2 linked regions of the Arabidopsis thaliana genome follow. The protein of the gene in region 2 interacts with the protein of the main gene of each other region in a pairwise test. Each region holds a gene or a part of one and is shown on either strand. Other genes may lie near its edges.

What was found.
Region 1: the proteins of KCO6 (region 2) and YKT61 interact in a protein complementation assay, tested with the Arabidopsis thaliana proteins (one large-scale study listed by BioGRID).

What each region holds. Positions count from the first base shown.
Region 1 is NC_003076.8:23,495,088-23,504,543, reverse strand, and holds YKT61 (SNARE-like superfamily protein), read right to left. Parts: upstream 6,406-9,456; 5' UTR 6,268-6,405; coding exon 6,075-6,267; intron 5,927-6,074; coding exon 5,853-5,926; intron 5,793-5,852; coding exon of another isoform or gene 5,785-5,792; coding exon 5,695-5,784; intron 5,606-5,694; coding exon 5,501-5,605; intron 5,285-5,500; coding exon 5,219-5,284; intron 5,008-5,218; coding exon 4,921-5,007; intron 4,484-4,920; exon of another isoform or gene 4,467-4,483; coding exon 4,416-4,466; 3' UTR 4,160-4,415; downstream 1-4,159. Other genes in the region: RR18 (response regulator 18), read left to right, coding at 394-523, 613-762, 830-1,201, 1,331-1,407, 1,504-2,616, 2,694-2,759; TIL (temperature-induced lipocalin), read left to right, coding at 3,388-3,762, 3,847-4,032; SVL4 (SHV3-like 4), read left to right, coding at 7,158-7,269, 7,406-7,702, 7,785-7,894, 7,985-8,483, 8,560-8,880, 8,969-9,108, 9,181-9,456. UniProt on the Arabidopsis thaliana protein: May be involved in the secretory pathway. Essential for membrane fusion mediated by either SYP41 or SYP61; triggers the fusion of phospholipid vesicles containing SYP41 or SYP61 and VTI12.
Region 2 is NC_003075.7:10,050,961-10,060,416, reverse strand, and holds KCO6 (Ca2+ activated outward rectifying K+ channel 6), read right to left. Parts: upstream 5,039-9,456; 5' UTR 4,722-5,038; coding exon 3,565-4,721; intron 3,025-3,564; coding exon 2,871-3,024; 3' UTR 2,232-2,870; downstream 1-2,231. Other genes in the region: AT4G18150 (Serine/Threonine-kinase, putative (DUF1296)), read right to left, coding at 6,627-6,923, 7,186-7,611, 7,695-7,820, 7,926-8,014, 8,113-8,454, 8,549-9,078, 9,168-9,303, 9,413-9,456. UniProt on the Arabidopsis thaliana protein: Two-pore potassium channel modulating the proton motive force (pmf) necessary to convert photochemical energy into physiological functions.

The sequences.
Region 1 (9,456 bases), on a different chromosome or scaffold from region 2:
GGTTTGAACGTTTATTTGCGAGTAAGGAAACAAAATGGGGACATTTACATTCACTTTACGAAAAGTTTGTCTTTTGTGCTCAGATAAGGCAAGATTCAACCAACAAAAGAGAAATTAGAGGAACATGTGACTCTCTCCACGTCCTCATTTATGGAAATATGAGCAGAAACAGAAGGAAATTTCTAATTATTTGGAGAATTAAGGGCCAGATTAACCGCGTAATCACTCTCTCTTTTGGGCCACTCGTCTTTATCTTTTTACATTTGTCTATAGGAGGACTATGGTCTTCTTCTAGTCCCAAACTTGAGGTTTTAAGAATAAAACAGATCAGATTTTAGTCTATGTACTATATTCCTTTGAAGAGAGGAGACTTGCAAACGTATTGCATCAAATATGGAGTTTGGAAGCACTGAAGATGGAAGGCATGACAAGTTTCCTGTAGGAATGAGGGTTCTTGCTGTGGATGACAATCCAACCTGCCTTCGGAAACTCGAAGAGTTGCTGCTTCGTTGCAAGTATCATGGTACTACATATTCTTTGCTTTTGTTTTTTTTTACCTGTCTGCTTCGGAATTGGGGTGCATGGTCAATGATGTTTGATTGATTACGCCAGTGACAAAGACAATGGAGTCGAGGAAAGCTCTGGAAATGCTGAGAGAAAACAGCAACATGTTTGATCTGGTGATAAGCGATGTAGAGATGCCAGACACGGATGGTTTTAAGTTGCTTGAAATTGGTCTTGAAATGGACCTTCCTGTCATCAGTACGTCTCCTACCATTGTTTTTCATATCAACTCTAGCCCTTATTGTAACCTGCTTCATTGTCTCAGTGTTGTCAGCTCATAGCGACTATGACAGCGTTATGAAAGGTATTATACATGGCGCTTGCGATTATCTGGTCAAGCCTGTTGGACTCAAGGAGCTTCAGAATATATGGCATCATGTTGTGAAGAAGAACATTAAATCTTACGCAAAACTGCTCCCACCTTCTGAATCTGATTCCGTCCCAAGCGCCAGCAGGAAACGGAAAGACAAAGTCAATGACAGTGGTGATGAAGATGACAGTGACAGAGAAGAGGATGATGGTGAGGGGAGTGAACAGGATGGTGACGGGTCAGGTACGCGGAAGAAGCCACGTGTTGTTTGGTCTCAGGAGCTTCACCAGAAGTTTGTCAGTGCCGTTCAGCAATTGGGCCTCGACAGTGAGTTTCCCCATAGACCTCTTTAAACCTTTCCTTATGTGTGATGTCCACTCTTGTTTCTCCTATAGAGTTATTTTGATGCTTTCATGTGTGGGATCCTCTTTTCATTTCTCCTTGTGTTCATCACAGAGGCTGTTCCCAAAAAAATACTTGATCTCATGAGTATAGAAGGTCTCACTAGGGAAAACGTAGCCAGTCATTTGCAGGTACTAATTCCCCATTCTCTCTTGCATTTTTCCCCTTCTTTCGCAAATATAATCTTGGATGGTTAGACTTGTTTTATTCTCTGGTTTTGGTTGCAGAAGTACAGACTGTACTTGAAAAAGATAGACGAAGGTCAGCAGCAAAATATGACCCCAGATGCATTTGGAACAAGAGATTCATCTTACTTTCAGATGGCTCAACTTGATGGACTTAGAGATTTTACTGCCGCAAGACAAATTCCAAGCTCAGGACTCTTATCGCGTTCCCATCTCACCAAACTCCAACCCCCTATGTATTCATCGATAAATCTCCAAGGAATGAACTCCTCCAGCTTCATCCAACAGGGGCATCACCAGAACTCAAGCAATTCAGCTAATCCGTTTGGAACATATCACAGTACTCTGTCACCAAGAATCCAGAACGTGAATCTGTTTCAGCGAACTTCATCTCCACTAGAACCCCTCCAGTTTCCTAGAAGCAAGTCATACATTGGAGATTTTAAAGGCTTAGGGGACAGAGCTATTGGCGGTAGCTTCCTAGATACTTGTATGCCATTTGGTAGCTCTAGCACCTCTTTACCAAGTGCTTCCACCAATCCTCTAATGTTGCAAGCAAACTATACACAACCCCTGCATATAGCCTCAGATGGAATTCAGCCTTGCATCGAGGGAACTCCGTCCAACTCTGCCTCCCCAAACATCAGTTTCCAAGGCTTATCTAGATTTCCTGGTCATAGCTGGCAAGGGAATTTGAACACAACCAGATTCCCACCGAGTTCCTTACCACTAAATCTTGCTTTCTTGCCGGATCAAGTGACATGTGCAGGGAACAATCTGGGAGATTGTACTTCTTTGGTTTCTGCAGAGAATCCTGGTGGAGAGATGCAGTGTGATCCTCAATTACTTGGCGGCTTCATGCAGAACGTGAATCCGTTAGGCGGACAGAAATGGGAGCAACAGAACTGCACCATGCTGAACAATCCATTCGGTAACATTGAGTATCCTCTACCCGCAGATAACATGGTTTTCAGAGACAACAATTCAACCAGAAGCAAAGGCTTGGATGAGTCACTGATGAACCCAATAGACAACAGTCAAGAGTATGTTGGAAAAGCTACTACAATGCTGGATCCAGAGATGAAGTCGGGAAAGCCAGAGAATGACAACCAGCATGATGTATTCGATGACATAATGAATGAGATGATGAAACAGGTAACGCGGTTGTTTTCTTGATTGGATTAAAAGCTTTTGTAGTTTGTAGAAAATGAAAGTGAATGTGTTTGTTGCAGGAGGAGAATAACGGAATGGTGCCAGTGGCTACTAGATTTGGCTTTGATTCATTTCCTCCACCTTAGCTAGTCATCTCTTTCTCTACCAGTTGCATTAAGTTTCTCCACTTGAGACCATTTTCATGTGATTTTTTTAAATTTCTTCCCACATTGTTTCCTCCGACTGTCAATAGATCATAGTACACCAACCTGTTTCATACTCTCTTTTATGAATTGGAATTGAAAGCGAGCCTGTTACAAAAATTTATTTTATAAAGTTTCTGAATAAGTGTTGTTATTCAAAACCAATATACGAATAGTAATGGGCCTAATTGAGATCGTTGGTTTACATATGGAGCTATTTTGAAGTGTCAACAAGAAGAGATATTTAGATGTCGATAGGATAATTTGGTGGGGCCTAGAAACGGCTAGAGGAAGTCAAATCAAAATGTGACTGTATGGCCCATTGTATTGTATCCTTCTTCCCACAGAACAAGGAAGACATTTGTGTCCTCCACCTTTATTCACATTTGTAACTGCTAGACGCTACTAGAACCCTTGCCCTACACGCTTTCCACGTGGCATCCTCTCGTCCCAGCGAAATCTCCTTGATATTATTTTTTTATTTCCTTATAAAGAACAGAATCTCTTCTTATCCTTTTACCTCAAAGAAAACATCGAAATCTTAGAGAAGAAGAAAAGAAAAAGAAGAGAAATGACAGAGAAGAAAGAGATGGAAGTGGTGAAAGGGCTCAACGTGGAGAGATACATGGGCCGTTGGTACGAGATTGCTTCTTTCCCATCAAGGTTTCAGCCAAAGAACGGCGTCGACACTCGCGCCACCTACACCCTTAACCCCGACGGTACCATACACGTCTTGAACGAAACGTGGAGCAACGGGAAGAGGGGTTTTATCGAAGGCAGCGCCTATAAGGCCGATCCTAAAAGCGACGAAGCCAAGCTCAAAGTCAAGTTCTATGTCCCTCCTTTCCTCCCAATCATTCCCGTCACCGGAGACTACTGGGTGCTCTACATCGATCCTGACTACCAGCACGCTCTCATTGGCCAGCCTTCCAGGAGTTATCTCTGGGTTGGTACTCTTTTTTTTTTCTCTTTAACGAATAATCGAAATTGATCCCAAAAATGATTGACTCTGTATATGTGGGTGGTGTAGATATTGAGCAGGACGGCGCAAATGGAGGAAGAGACGTATAAGCAGCTGGTGGAGAAGGCAGTGGAGGAAGGTTATGACATCAGCAAGCTTCACAAGACTCCTCAGAGTGACACACCACCTGAGTCCAACACTGCCCCTGAAGACTCCAAGGGCGTTTGGTGGTTCAAATCTCTCTTCGGCAAATAGATTACACGGCACACAAAGACTTTGTTTCACCTCTTTGATCCTTTTGTCTGTGTAATATACTACCCCCTTTGTCTACTCTAGTTATCTTCCATCATCTGCTTTTGTCTATTTACGACATCTTCATCTAGTTATGCAAAGTCGTCTCTTTTACCATAAGGAAGCGCACACAAATTCAATCAGATCAAATCTGGGAAAGACAATTCAAATCTTGCAGAAGTTGACATTATGTATTTGGATAAACACACCACACGACTCGAGACTTATGGAATCAAAATAATGCATGCAAACTACAGACGGAATTATATGTATAGATAAGACGATAGAAAAAACAGTCTCCCCCCAGCAAAAGTTTGGTTGACTATATACCCAGCAGGACTTCCAGCTCACAGAATAGTACAGCATGAATTTGTTTTCTTCGCTTGCTTGTAAAACATCTGTTCCAACCAATACAACCAAATCAGATTTTCATGTTGGAAGTAAACATGGTTTACCTAATCTAAATAACGAAGAATATCTTGAGATTCCAGAGGATATGACTAATACATATGTTCCTCCCCATGGTCAGATGATATAGCAAAAAACACTATGATTCTTCGTAGCAAACCTAATAATTCCAAAATCCAACTGTATAGTTCAAACTGCACTCAAATGTCTGCAGGCTGAAGCAGAAAGCTTTTTCAAAGAAGGTATTCTAAATCCACATTCTTCCTCTATTTATCTACCCCAACAATAACATGCAATAGTTCCTCTATCAATCAACAACACTTATAAGCCTGCTAAATCAACAACCCTTTCTAACGTGTTCACCAACTATGCTCAGAGATCGAGACAGGGAAAAAAGGAAACTAAATCTATAAGAATTTCTAGAATGTGACTTTAGAATGTTACCTGTGATGCCATGCTCAAATCTGAGCTCTTCTCCACTAGGCTGTCCAGCTTCTCACCACGGGCTAGAACACTATCAATGGTTTTATGCTACAATACAGAACAAAAAATCAGTCTTACGGAGACAGGGACATCCATCATAACTACCAAGACTTTCTTCTTGTTTTGGTGTTTTTCAGAAGAAAGTAAACTCACCGACAGAACAGCATTTATGTATAATTGGCAAGTATACTGAAACTTAGAAAAGGAAGTACCGCTTATGTATAAGGGTCTACAAGAAAGGACCGGAGACAGCACTTACAAGGATAATCTTTGTCTCATCCAACTCCCTCTGGATTTTCAACAGCTTATCAGCCTCTGCTGGGTCCTGAAGATTACAAATACGGGACAATCCCAAAATCAATTTAAGATCAAATCACTCAAAATCCAACATGGTCATAAAACAATGGGGGCTACTAAAATTAATTCATGAAGAATGAATCATTCGATTGGATTCTAATGTCCACCTAACTGAGCTTAATATAACTACAGTTTTAACAAAATTCACAGTAAAAGAGCGAATACAGTTGCACAAGTGAAGAACCTGAAATTTGTTTAAAGCTTCGGTTAAGTATGGCCAAGGCTGATTGGAGTCTTCTTTTGCAGACCTCCATGACTCACCAAAACTCTTCTGGTACTCATCTAGGACCTGAGACAAAATTAAATGTCAAGCAACCCAAATTACAGGAAAACTTACGAATGATGCATTGAGAACCACTTTCAACATAATGATATTACCTGATTGAGAAGAGAGAAAGCACTTCGAACAGGGTAATGATCGTCCATGAAACCCACCGCGCAAAGGCCATTTCTATTGTAAGCGTGAACCTTGTACTCTAAACCAAAAACAAAATAAAAACACGAACCCTAATTATCCCAAATTCGAGGACTAGAACAATAAGATAGAATCGCAAGAAATTAAAGCCGGGGCATAGTCCAGGAAGATCTAGAATCAGAAACGGTGCACATCCTAAATCATAAAAGTTTCAAAATCGAAAAGCCGATCCGAATTTAGAAATCGAATAAAAATCAAAGAGGAAAGGAGATTGCATTAGATCCGGGAGAAAGAAGATTTGAAAACAATCGATCTAGAGAGGTAGAAGAAGAAGGAGAAGAACCTTCGTGTTGAACAGACTGGCGTTGGGAAGGAGGGGTTCGGCTAGCGACAGTGCGACCGACAAAGACGACGAACTCCTTGACGCTAGATCGCTGGAAATAACCGAAGTGAGAGACGTCCGAAGCGTTGGAGAGGATGACGGGATCAGAAGCTTCGGGAGCGCACTTGAGAACGAGCAAGGCGGTGATCTTCATAGCTGCGGTGGATCCAAGGTTGCGTGAGAAGGAAGCGAGGAGGAGGAAGAGAAGAGGCTTTGGACCTGGATTCCTTACTCGGAGATGCTAAAGGCAAAACAAGTTTTGAGGTGTCGAACCAAACGCAGACGCCTTCTCATTAACATTGAATAATGAATATATACCCTCTTTTTCTTATTCGCTATGTTGAAGTAAAAATTAAAAACCTTTGGTTCAATTCAATTTTATGTGGGCAGTCTCGGTTCGGTTTAGCATATATTGATGCAGAATTGGACCGGAATCAAAGATTTTTCCATCACATAGAATTGGATTTTTAAGAATTTTAAGTCTAGGCAAAAACTGAAACCAAAGAATATTTTAATTTTTGCCAATCGAGTTTTCTTATTAACGGAATATTGGTTTGGTTTAGATCGGACAACTTGGTTTGGTCCGAATGCCAAACTCTAATATTGTCATTTTAACTACATACATGTATGACAAATGAATATAGTACAAAGTCCAAAACTGAGGGGTGTTACACCCATTTGTGCAAAGAAGATGTAAGAAAGCATCAAAAAAAGAAAAAGCGGTTAAGAAGGGAATGGTGGAGAAGAAGAGATAAAAATAGAAAGGAGTAAATGGCCATAAATGGAGGATATGAGAGCAAGTTACTTTTTTTTACCATTAATTAACCTTGTTTGACCCATCTCCTCTTTCTCTTCTTTTTCCTTTCCTCTAACTAAACGAGGAAAACAAGCAGGAGAGGGGATTCATGTTCTTTTCTCGCTGTAAGATCTCTCTTTCACAATTTTCTTAAATGTGACAATTCTGTTTTTGTTACATGTATCCTGACTTTGCTTTTCCATTGGGGTACGTACGTTACACACAAATGCAGGATCAATCAGATAGAGATGCTGAGGTTTTTCATTCTTTTCTCCCTTTTCTTACACTCTTCTGTTGCGGCACCCAAGACTCCTGCTGCTGCCGCAGCTGTTCCTGCCAAGAAATGGCTTACCCTTAACGGTAAGCATCCTTTTACAGAGTATGCCCATATTGCATACTACCATGTTTTTTTTTTTGTTGTTGTTTAATGTTAAGACTTAAGATACCATGTTGTTTGTTTGTTTCTAAGAATCCGTACCTGTCTTTTGTCTTCCAGGACAAGAGCCTGCCGTTGTGGCCAGAGGGGGCTTCTCGGGTCTTTTCCCTGAGTCAAGCATCTCTGCAAACGACTTGGCTATTGGCACCAGCTCGCCTGGCTTCACAATGTTGTGCAACCTTCAGATGACTAAGGACGGTGTGGGCCTTTGCTTGTCAGATATCAGACTTGACAATGCAACCACCATCTCCTCGGTCTTCCCCAAAGCCCAGAAGACCTACAAGGTCAACGGTCAGGACCTCAAGGGCTGGTTTGTCATTGATTACGATGCCGACACCATATTCAACAAAGTCACTCGTATGTCTTCTTCTCTTTCATTTCCTCCCTTCAATGCTCACCACCACCACCACACATTTTCATGTTTTGTATTATTGAGCAGTGGTCCAGAACATCTTCTCTCGGCCTAGCATCTTCGACGGCCAAATGTCGGTTTCTGCAGTGGAGGATGTCCTTGGAACCAAGCCTCCCAAGTTCTGGTTGAGCGTTCAGGTATGTTTTCTTCTCTTTGAGAACATGATTAACCAACATATGGAGCTTTTTTGTTGATTCATCAAAACAACAAACAATGCAAATGTGCAGTACGATGCCTTCTACATGGAACACAAGCTGAGCCCAGCCGAGTACCTGAGAAGCTTGCGATTCCGCGGCATTAATGTCATCTCATCTCCAGAGATTGGTTTCTTGAAGAGCATCGGGATGGACGCGGGCAGGGCCAAGACAAAGCTCATATTTGAGTTCAAAGACCCCGAGGCAGTTGAGCCCACCACCAACAAGAAGTACAGCGAGATTCAGCAGAACCTCGCAGCCATCAAGGCCTTTGCTTCAGGCGTTCTTGTGCCCAAAGACTACATTTGGCCCATTGACTCAGCTAAGTACCTTAAGCCCGCCACCACTTTTGTGGCTGATGCTCACAAAGCCGGTCTAGAGGTCTATGCTTCAGGGTTTGCCAACGACTTGCGCACCAGCTTTAACTACAGCTATGATCCCTCTGCTGAGTATCTCCAGTTTGTGGACAATGGCCAGTTCTCTGTTGATGGTGTCATCACCGATTTCCCGCCAACAGCATCACAATCAATCAGTGAGATGACTTGCTATATATGTTTCCTCAGATAGCTGATTATTAAGAAGAAGCTAAAGCGTCTGTTTTCTTGCAGCTTGCTTTTCTCACCAAAACGGCAATCTCCCCAAAGCAGGGCATGCATTGGTTATAACTCACAATGGAGCAAGCGGAGACTATCCAGGCTGCACTGATCTGGCTTACCAGAAAGCAATCGACGATGGAGCAGACATAATTGACTGCTCTGTTCAGATGTCCAAAGACGGAATCGCTTTCTGCCATGATGCTGCAGACCTCTCAGCAAGTACCACCGCCAGGACTACTTTCATGTCCCGAGCCACCAGCGTTCCTGAGATCCAGCCTACCAACGGAATCTTCTCTTTTGATCTTACATGGGCCGAGATCCAGTCTGTGAAGCGTAAGAAACTGATTTCTTTTCTATAGATTTCTTAAACTAATCTTATTCTCAACTAAGTCACTGAGCATTGGGATATCTTTGTCTTCAGCACAAATAGAAAACCCCTTCACTGCCACGGGCTTCCAGAGAAACCCCGCAAACAAGAACGCCGGGAAGTTCACGACTCTTGCGGACTTCCTTGAGCTCGGCAAAGCAAAGGCAGTCACCGGAGTTTTAATCAACATTCAGGCAAGCCATTTAACTTCCAAATGCTCCTTGACTAACACAAGGAAGCTCCACTAACACTGTTTTTGTTGACAGAATGCTGCTTATTTAGCCTCGAAGAAAGGCTTAGGAGTCGTAGACGTAGTCAAGTCTGCTCTTACAAATTCCACACTCGACAAGCAATCAACCCAGAAGGTTTTGATTCAGTCGGATGACAGTTCAGTTCTATCTAGTTTCGAGGCTGTCCCTCCTTACACAAGAGTCTTGAGTATCGACAAGGAGATCGGAGATGCTCCTAAGACATCCATCGAAGAAATCAAGAAGCATGCAGATGCTGTCAATCTCTTGAGAACTTCCCTCATCACCGTCTCC
Region 2 (9,456 bases):
ACCGGAAACACTCAGTCACCGGCCGGTCGTTTGGTGTGAAGAATGCAGTAAGAGGCAGTCAAAGATTCAAAGGGAAAAAAGTTTACGAAAACAAAAGATTATATTTTGGGAGTATTAGGCTGCCACGTGGAAACACTTGCACCGGCATTTGACCGTCGCCGACACATGACCTGGCACGTGCTAGAGACTGTCTTCTCTTCTTCTTCTTCTTTTTCCCTCACTGTTTCACGAACCTTAATAATTATTCATAGGTAATTCCTAGTCAAGAAGCAATAATTTAGACCCTACATATTTTGGTTATAAAATATGAATATATGAATCTCTTGATATTCAAATTATTTTCATGTTTTTAGTGTAAGATTTGACCCAAAGAATCATACATTGCTAATAATTTGCTATAACATTCAAAGAAAATTAGTTACTATGGGACTTTAAGTGACGTAGCTATGTGGAGTGGATCGTTACTTATGCTGACGGATAAGTGAGATCATGATTACGCAATAACAATTTCTTTTTCACATTAGAACTTTCTGTTTGCAAGTAAAAGAGCATCTTAATTTATTAACTTATATTAAGGAAAAGATGGTCAAACCAAAAGTATCTATATTATGAAAATGTTAACATTATGATAATTACGATAAACCCTTTATATACAATTTTATTTGCGATAATTGTGGGGAATTAAAGTTGCATGTTATGAACCCTATGCTTGATTTATATAGCTAGTAATCGTTTTCATGAGTTTGTAGAAATTGATAGGAGCATATGATCAGGAAAAAAGGAGACATATAATGCCTAACCGACATGACAAATGCGAAGGGGACATACATCAACTTTAAATGTGGTCAAAGTGATATATTTACTACTATGAAAAATCACTAAAATATGGCAAGATAAAAACAAATACTAGCATCTTGGAAGAAATCGGTTTAATCACTAAAAATTTGATATGTCATGGTCTTTTGGTCACAATCCATTTTTTTGGTAGGTGAAGGATTCAACTCTTTTTTTTTTTTTGGTCACACCTAAGTTTTTGGATTACAAATTATCGTGAATTACGTATGATGATCTTAATGCGTTTAATAATCACTGCTATATTACCTAGCATATTACGGATAGCGCGAGAATACATACATATATATAGTCAGTGTCTCAGTGATACTCAGTATAAAATATTGGAATGAATCAAAATACTATGGCTTTGGTATATAAAAATTTGATCAATGAAAGAAGGGCATAATAATTTCCATGTTTTTAACGCTTTTTGGTCAAAACAAACTACGATGAAAAACGTTTTCGAGAAAATCAATACCAATCTAGTAATCTTTGGTCGAAATAATTAAGAAGACCGAATAATTCTCTTTGAACCAAAAGAGACATTAACCATTCACATTTGACCAAGAACATCAAGGCGTATACATACTTTAATTTGGGAAAGAGAAACAGCAACTCTTATCAGATTCCATATGAGTAATAGAATAATCTCTAAACCAAAAAAAATTCAATCTTCGAAGTCAAATATATATTCAATCTTCTATTGCATACTATAATAATGCCATAATGGTGGTATATGAATCTGTTTCTCGTACCTAACCACATTAATGCATACTAAGATATATATTAATACACATTTATAGTTTTAATTTAGGCAGAAACTAAACGCCGTAATTGGTGCCTAATCGTTTGCGTTGTCTTATCCATAAGCCCCACATTTAAATTACCCAAAGTTAGACCGTGGACCTCTATGTAATTTGTAACCTGTAAGTGAAAAAAAAACATTAGCTTACAATTACACGTATACATAACTGTATCTGTCTGCAGTTGAAATGTCTGACCTATTTTTGGGGATTTGTGCCTAACATATAAAGATATTATTATGAAATTTATTTCTACTTTCTAGTAAACACATAATTATTACATTATTTAAGTTTCAATTTAACGTAAAGAAGAATAAAAAGAAAGAGAGTGAAATTGTTGACTTTAGCTTTGGAATAGAATAGTTGGGGCAGGTTTGTTGTTAGGTTTGTCATGTGTGACATTTTTATCATTATTATTCATGTTAGTATATATAAAATATATATGAATAAAAAGGAATCTCTTGTATTTTCTGTTCTTTCACACACGTTATCCTCTTTCTGAAATTTGAGTTGTTACAGCTGATTAATTTAATATATATGATATTTGTGTATAGATTATCAAGAATAAGAAAATGCATTTAAAAACAAATAACCGAAAAGACTAAATTTTTCATTAATTGGTATTGATATTAGGACATCAATATGTTGAGTAACTATACATGGTCGATTACATTACAATGCGAATTGAAATTCTCTTTAACTGGAAAAGAACTAATATGAAAAAGCTGATGATGTATCAGTAAAACTCTTTTAAAACTGTTGATAAGAAATTCGAATTTACATATTTTAGATTGGAACTTGAAAGTTACAGTTTTATTTGCATACTGGACCAACAAATTTGGATCAAACCTTATCCAACCAAATTTATATACCTTGAGGCTTGAGCCCATATATCTGCAAAAATTACAGGGGGTCATCAAAATCTCATCGTACCAGAGTAAACCGATCACATAACCATTTGGCAACACATCAAACCGGTTAAGATAAAATCCCACAATTCCTCTTCATAATCTTGGGTGAGAAAGGAGAGGATAACTTTTGGTGATGTGAATCAGTGAATCCTGCTTAACCAATTATGCAAGACAAGACCAAAGACATAATATCGGTCCAAACCAGTTTACATAAACTGGAGACTGGACTCCTCATCATCACCATTAGCATCATTAGGATCGTTGATCCGTTGTAATTAGTAACTGTAATTCTAAGCTAAAACAAAAAGTTGCAGAGGATTGATCAATCGCCACTGCCACCTTCCAAGAGATCTAAAAGAGTGATCTTTCCGTTGCTGCATCGGTCGAGTTTGTCAAACTGTTTGGAGATTGGTAGTATGTCCTTATCGGTTATTTTCTCCATCTCCTTCAGTTTGTATATCACATACTCTGCTTTACTGCAAAAACAAAGAAAAAAACCAGAAGATATCTCAGGTTTGAGTGAGTATACAAGCAAAGCATTTCTCTGTGTTAAATCCGAAAATGCGTCTAAGCCTCCCTTTCATGGTCATTCAAACTTTATATCAAGCCGAAAACATACAATGACACGATGCTTTCGCATCACACATTCACAGATCTTCAACTTAGCCTAAGACCACAAACTATGTTCTTGAACAAAAAGATTCATAAGAAGAAGTGCAGAATATGAATTAACTTAGAAATCCAACACCTTCAAGAATCTAATTAGCTAATGAGCTATGAATGTTTTTGTTTTCAAAGATCCTCTACACAAACGAAAATTAAAAGACTAATAATAAATAGCAAAGACAAAATCTTTTGGATGACTTCTAAGAAATGCATAAACATTACGGATGTCACAATGGATATTTTAACAAACATAAGCATCACACAGTTAATTCAGATATCAGTTTAAGATTCTTAAAACCTTAAGGAGTGTGTCAGAGCATATAATATGGATAAGGAATGAGTCAAATTACCTCACACAGCCATTGTTATCAATATCTGCAGCGAAAAACTGAGAGACAGACATTGTTTCACAAAGCACTTTCTTCGCCCGTTCTCTATTCCTCTTATCCACTCTCGCCTCAGCCAAGTACAAAAAAGCTCGAGCCACAGCTAATGTAGACACAAGCAGCCATATCGCAGCGAAAAGCCTACCGGGCAATGTCTTAAAAGCCCGATCTCCATACCCGACAGTAGTAACCGACATAACCGAGAGATAAAACGAATCCAACCACCCGATTTCCTCAATGAAATGCATAATCCCAACACCAACAGCAATGCATAAAACCACAACACCTAATGCCAAAGCCACTTTCAACCTAATTCTCATTCTCCCTTTCTTGACATCGATTATATAAGATCTCCTCTTCTCAGGCTCATCTCTCCGCTTAGCAGAGTCTAACATATAGCTCTCTTGAAGGTCAAGAACATAAGAGACCATCCCACTAAGCAAAATATCAATGAAACCAAACCCAACAAGCACAAACATAATCGAAAACAGCTTAGTAACCACACTGTTTGGAGTGATGTCTCCATAACCAATGGTGCACATTGTAACGATACAAAAATACAATCCATCAACTACAGGATGGGTTTGATTCACAACGTAGTGATCACGATTCAGCCAATAGATAAGCACACCTAGAGAGAGATACACAACGAGAAGAGCAAAAGCTTGTCTTACTACAGATCGTGACGTCTCTGTAGGATCTTTTTGACGAATTGGGTGATGAAGATCATTGATTACAGCCATTGCTGGTGCTGTTTTGGATCGGTGAAGAGCGTGGCCTTGACAGTGACTCGAAGTTTGATCGGACAACCATGGCTCTGGTTGTGGTGGTGGTGGTGGAAGCAGAGGATCTAGGGTTGAGGAATCGGAGAAAGGATTATTAACGGCGGTTGAAGAAGACGACGGTGACGGTTGTTTCATGGAATCGATGAAGTGAGACGAATCTCGCGGCGAACATGAAAAGGGTCCGAAGATTAAACGCTCTTTGAACTCCGACGGTGTCATCGGCATCGGAATCGCAACTTCGTTGTCTTCTGGTAATGGAAACAGCAGCTGTGGAGGTTTTTTCAATCTCGGGCTAATCATGTATTGAAGTAAAGGGTCACTTCCTTCGTTGGCCATCTCGCCGGAAAACTGGAAATGGTTTTCCGATTGAAGTTAACTGAATTATCGGAAAAAGATCGTTTTTTTTTTTTGGTTTGATCTAAAGACTGAAACTTGAAGGGATTGAAGCGAAGGAGAAAGAGGTAAGAGGAGGAACGTGAAACGTGGGAAAAAGGAAGAAACTTTATCTCTCTCTCTCTCTCTCTCTCGCAAAGGATTGAAGTAAGAAGAAGCAGAAATGGCGCTTTCTTAAGTTTTTCTTGTGGCTATTAACATTTTTTAGAGAGAAATCAAAGGTTATATACTGATATTCATTTAATAATGATTTGATGCGGTTTGCACAAAAAACAAGAAACATTTACATATGATACTATAAGAACCTATATAACATGCTATTTTTTAAAATTAATATGGCATCTTTTTTTTATAATAATTAATAATATGGCATCTTCTTCAATAATAATATATCCAGACCGATTTTGTTATTCTATTTCAGATTACTAGATTGCACACATTACACATGCTGCTAATAATTGAATTGGTTTTCTTGTAACTATTTGTGGAAAAATACTCTTTATTAAGTCTAAGATTGAGTTTGGCTCCTTTCATATTTTCTCTAAAATTTTATCTAAAACTAACATTTATATGAATTGTGTTCCGAATAATAAATCTAATTGACATTATAGATCAGATAAATAAGTTCCGAATGGAGATATACGGTTTAACTACATATCAAATGCGATGTAGTTTTCATTGTATTATTATATTGTAACTGAGCAAAATAAAAAGAAGCAATTGATTGTGGCCCTAAAATTCTAGCAATTTCAGAAAATTTTGTTACTACTCTTTCCGTAATGATGTTTTAAACTTTTATTTTTGTTTTTAAAGGAATGATGTTTTAAATTTTCAATGGAAAATTATTTGTATTTTTATTGATTTTAATGATTTTTTTTTGCAGATTATTTTTCTACTGGTTGATTAAATAATAGATGATATTTTAGTTTTAAAATAGATAAAAGTTAAATAATTTTTTTATGCATGTGTATTCTCCTAAAACATCAACTAAATAAAAATGGAGGGAGTATTAAAATTGTACTGCAACGTGCGGTTTCGTCACCATTGGGAACCGTAATTTTAAAATGGAGGGGTCGAAGTTGTAAGTTTGAATTCCAGTAAACACTTCGACCGAATTAAAGTGTCAACTATGTTTGACAAAAAGGTACAGCGTCTCTCTCATATTAAAATTTTTAAACACAGAGATGACTTGAATTTTTGGAGCTGAAAACAAATAAAACGGCAAAATGTGTCGTTTTGTTAACAAATCTCACATGACGTGGTTTTCCAGAGTTAGATAAGTACACATCTCTCTATTAACTATACTATCCAATTAAATATTGTGTAGTAGACTAGTACCAAACAAAGAACACATGATTTGATTAGCTTTCTTCATTATACACAACTTATTTAATAGTAGATAAATTAGCATAATCACACCGTCAAAATGTGTAAATAGTAATTGAATTTCTCTGTTTTCAAATTTTTCTTCTCTTTCCATACTATTTAATATGACGCAGGTTAGTCAGGACATGCTAAGCTTAATAATCTTTACTATGAAGTTTGGTCTGATATAGAATGTCAAGACTAAATAGTTAAAAAGTAAAATGATAAGAAACAGACAAGAAAGAAAAATAGAGTTCTTTTTAGTAATATAAGAAGGTTAGCAAGTAAACAAGTTAACCCATTGAAGGTTCTCTCACAAAACCCTCTCATAAGACCCTACCCTGAACCTTAAACACACACACAACACAACGCCATTTTCAAACAACGGAATCATCCCATCGCTGCTCTGGAATGAGAGATGAAAATAAGGGGGAAAGAAGGATTTGAATGGATTGCTTTTCATCAGTAGTTGTTGGGCCATAACTATTGTTGGGACTGTTTCGACGCGTCTCTAGCGTTTTGCTGTTGTTGGTATTGGTGATGAAGATGTTCTAGTGACATTACAGCTTGTGAATGGTAAGGACTCACATACCCATGTCCTCCATAATGTTGTTGTTGTTGTTGTTGTTGAGACGACTGCTGCTGATGTTGCAGTTGTTGGGCTTGACGGAAACCGGGAGGCTGCTGATTCTGATGACCAGGGTAGCTGTAATATCCGCTTCCTGGAACCACTCGCGAGTTGGCTTGTTGTCCTTGATGCCATGCTGTTGTTTTTTCGTTCTGTAGATCAAAGCAAAACAAAGAAAGCTACTCGTTAAGGTTTGCGAAAAAGAGAACGCACAAATAACAGAAACCAAACTGCACCGATTTTCTTAAAATCCAACAGTTCAAAACTGAGCCAAACCCATCCAAAATCGAACAAAAATAAATAAAATCGAATACTCCAGTATAAATTCCAGCTGACTAAACAGAGGAAGGAAACCAAACAGAACCAAAACACACCAACATGATTATAAAACCTGAGAAGAATTTCATGGTTTACCTGCTGCTGAAGAGATGATGCCAAGTGGTTGCTCTCATTAAACTGTGAGCTCAAGACATCTTCGTAGGAGTTTGCAGCACTTGTGGGATTCAAAGGGAAGTTATTACTTGAGACAGCGCCTCCACCGAACCCATAGGCAGAGGGAGGAGGAACAGGAGGAGCGGTTGTTTGAGTCTTGTATTGCATAAGCATATCAACTAAAGACTGATGATTACCAGTAGGAAACACTTGTTGAAAAGCTGAAAGCATGAAAGGGTTGTAACACTGTGCCATGAATGGGTAGCTTATCAAATTGCCATAATGTCCTAAAGGCATCTCAGGCTGATGAGAGTAGGGATTTAAGGCAAGATGTTGTGCAAGAGTTGCTGCTTGCTGTCCTGCACTGGGTATTGCGTTTTGAGGTGAAATACTCGCAGCTCTTAGTGCCTGCAATCAAATTTGTGTAAGCAATGGTATTGAAGGAAAGCTTAGAATAAGATCATATGAAAGAGAAACGGGGATTTGGTTACCTCGGCCATGGAAATTTCAGTGTTGTATAGTGTTGTGAAAGGCGAGTAGTGAAGATTAGATTCTCTTCCATCTTGAATGCCTGATGGGAGTAGAGTGTTGGGTAACGAACTTGTATATCCTTGCTGCTGCACATTAAGAAAAAAAAAATAGTAGATATGGTTAAAATCTTTTCAGTGATCCTTTTCGATTGTGTGATAGATTTTTAAATCTGAATAGTGTTTGATGTTTACCATTATGTTGGGGTAGGTATCGAGATTCTGCCTCTGAGGATTTGTTTCTGATGGAGGATGGAACAGTTGGTTGTTTTCAAATCTGTAACCTTCGGAAGACGAAAACTTGTATTGATGACTTCTTGAGGCGGTTCATGTTGCACTGCGTCTGTCTTAGAATCTGTGGCAGAATTATAATTTTGGGTACTTGAATCGATTTGATAAGACACTTGTTCATTTGTAACAGCATTTCTCGGCTGTTCTGCTTCTTCTTCTCCATAGAAGTTAGTGTCGGGATGTCTGAATGATGAATCATCCTCTGCTACTAGTGGTTCTTCCAAGTTATCATTCAAGGCACTAGGTTGACCAGATCCTATCCCAGAAGAAAAACAACCGAACATTAAGTGCAAGCATTCCGAGGTATGGACTTGCAGGTGATTGGGGATTATCACCGCATGTTTTTCTTCCTTTGGTAATGCTTCCTGCTCTTCTTCATTGTAAATAGTTAGTTGCTGAAAACCAGTAGCAACAGAAGTAGAAACATCTTCATCTGAAAATAATGGAAAAAGCAAACATTAGAAAACATGACAAAGAGGAAGAAAGAGATAAAAAGAAGACTCACACAGAGAATATGGATATCTCACCTTGATTTTCCTCATAAGAATGTCTTTCAGCTTTGTTATTTTCATCGTCACATACTAAGGAATCTCTAGATTCATCGTCAACCAAATTTCTGCTTGATACTGAAGCTAGCGGATTGTGATCCACATCAGGAGGAGACCCAGTTGGATAAGTTTTTGTTTCGCGGTGGATGTCATCCAAAAGAGTCTCATCCAAATGTTGAGACTCACTAAATTGGTCGGAAGAAATCTTAGATTCAGCAGATGGTTTCAAGACAGAGGATGATAGATAAGAAACGTCTTGCTTCTCAATTGAAGGGCATTCATCCTTCAAAGGGGCTTTACTGCTGCTCTCTTGAGCCTCTGATGAACGAGGCAAAGCGACATTCTTCTGCAGGTTAGGTCTACCCATTTTCACAATTTCAGCCATAGTTCTTTGCCCAGGGTTAGCGCTAGCCCAAGCTGATTGATACGCAGGAAAAGGCAACGAAGACAAAGTAACTGCATCACTGGGGGTCGTTGGTGCTTTCTTGACTTTAGAGCTTGGAAGATCACTGCAATGCAAAGGAGATACTAAGATAACACAAAATATTGGACATTGTTACGAAAATTAGATACCAAAAGACCACATGAAGGTAAGAACCTGTTTGATGGTGGTTGGCGTCTAAGCAAACCAGGTAGGCGTCCAAGCAAACCAGATGATGCAGAAGATCCAGCCAAATGATTACGTGCTCCGTTTTCTCTTCTATTCACAGGTACACCTTGAATTTTTCCTGTCTCTGAAGCAAAATCCAGAAACAAGTTTAGACATTTTTCAAGATAACCAAAACCACAACGAACATAAGAAAAAAGAGAAAACTATCTCTTGCACAATTTGCATCTTACTACCATTAGATTTATACTTGTTTCTGCCACCTCGAGAGGTATTGTAA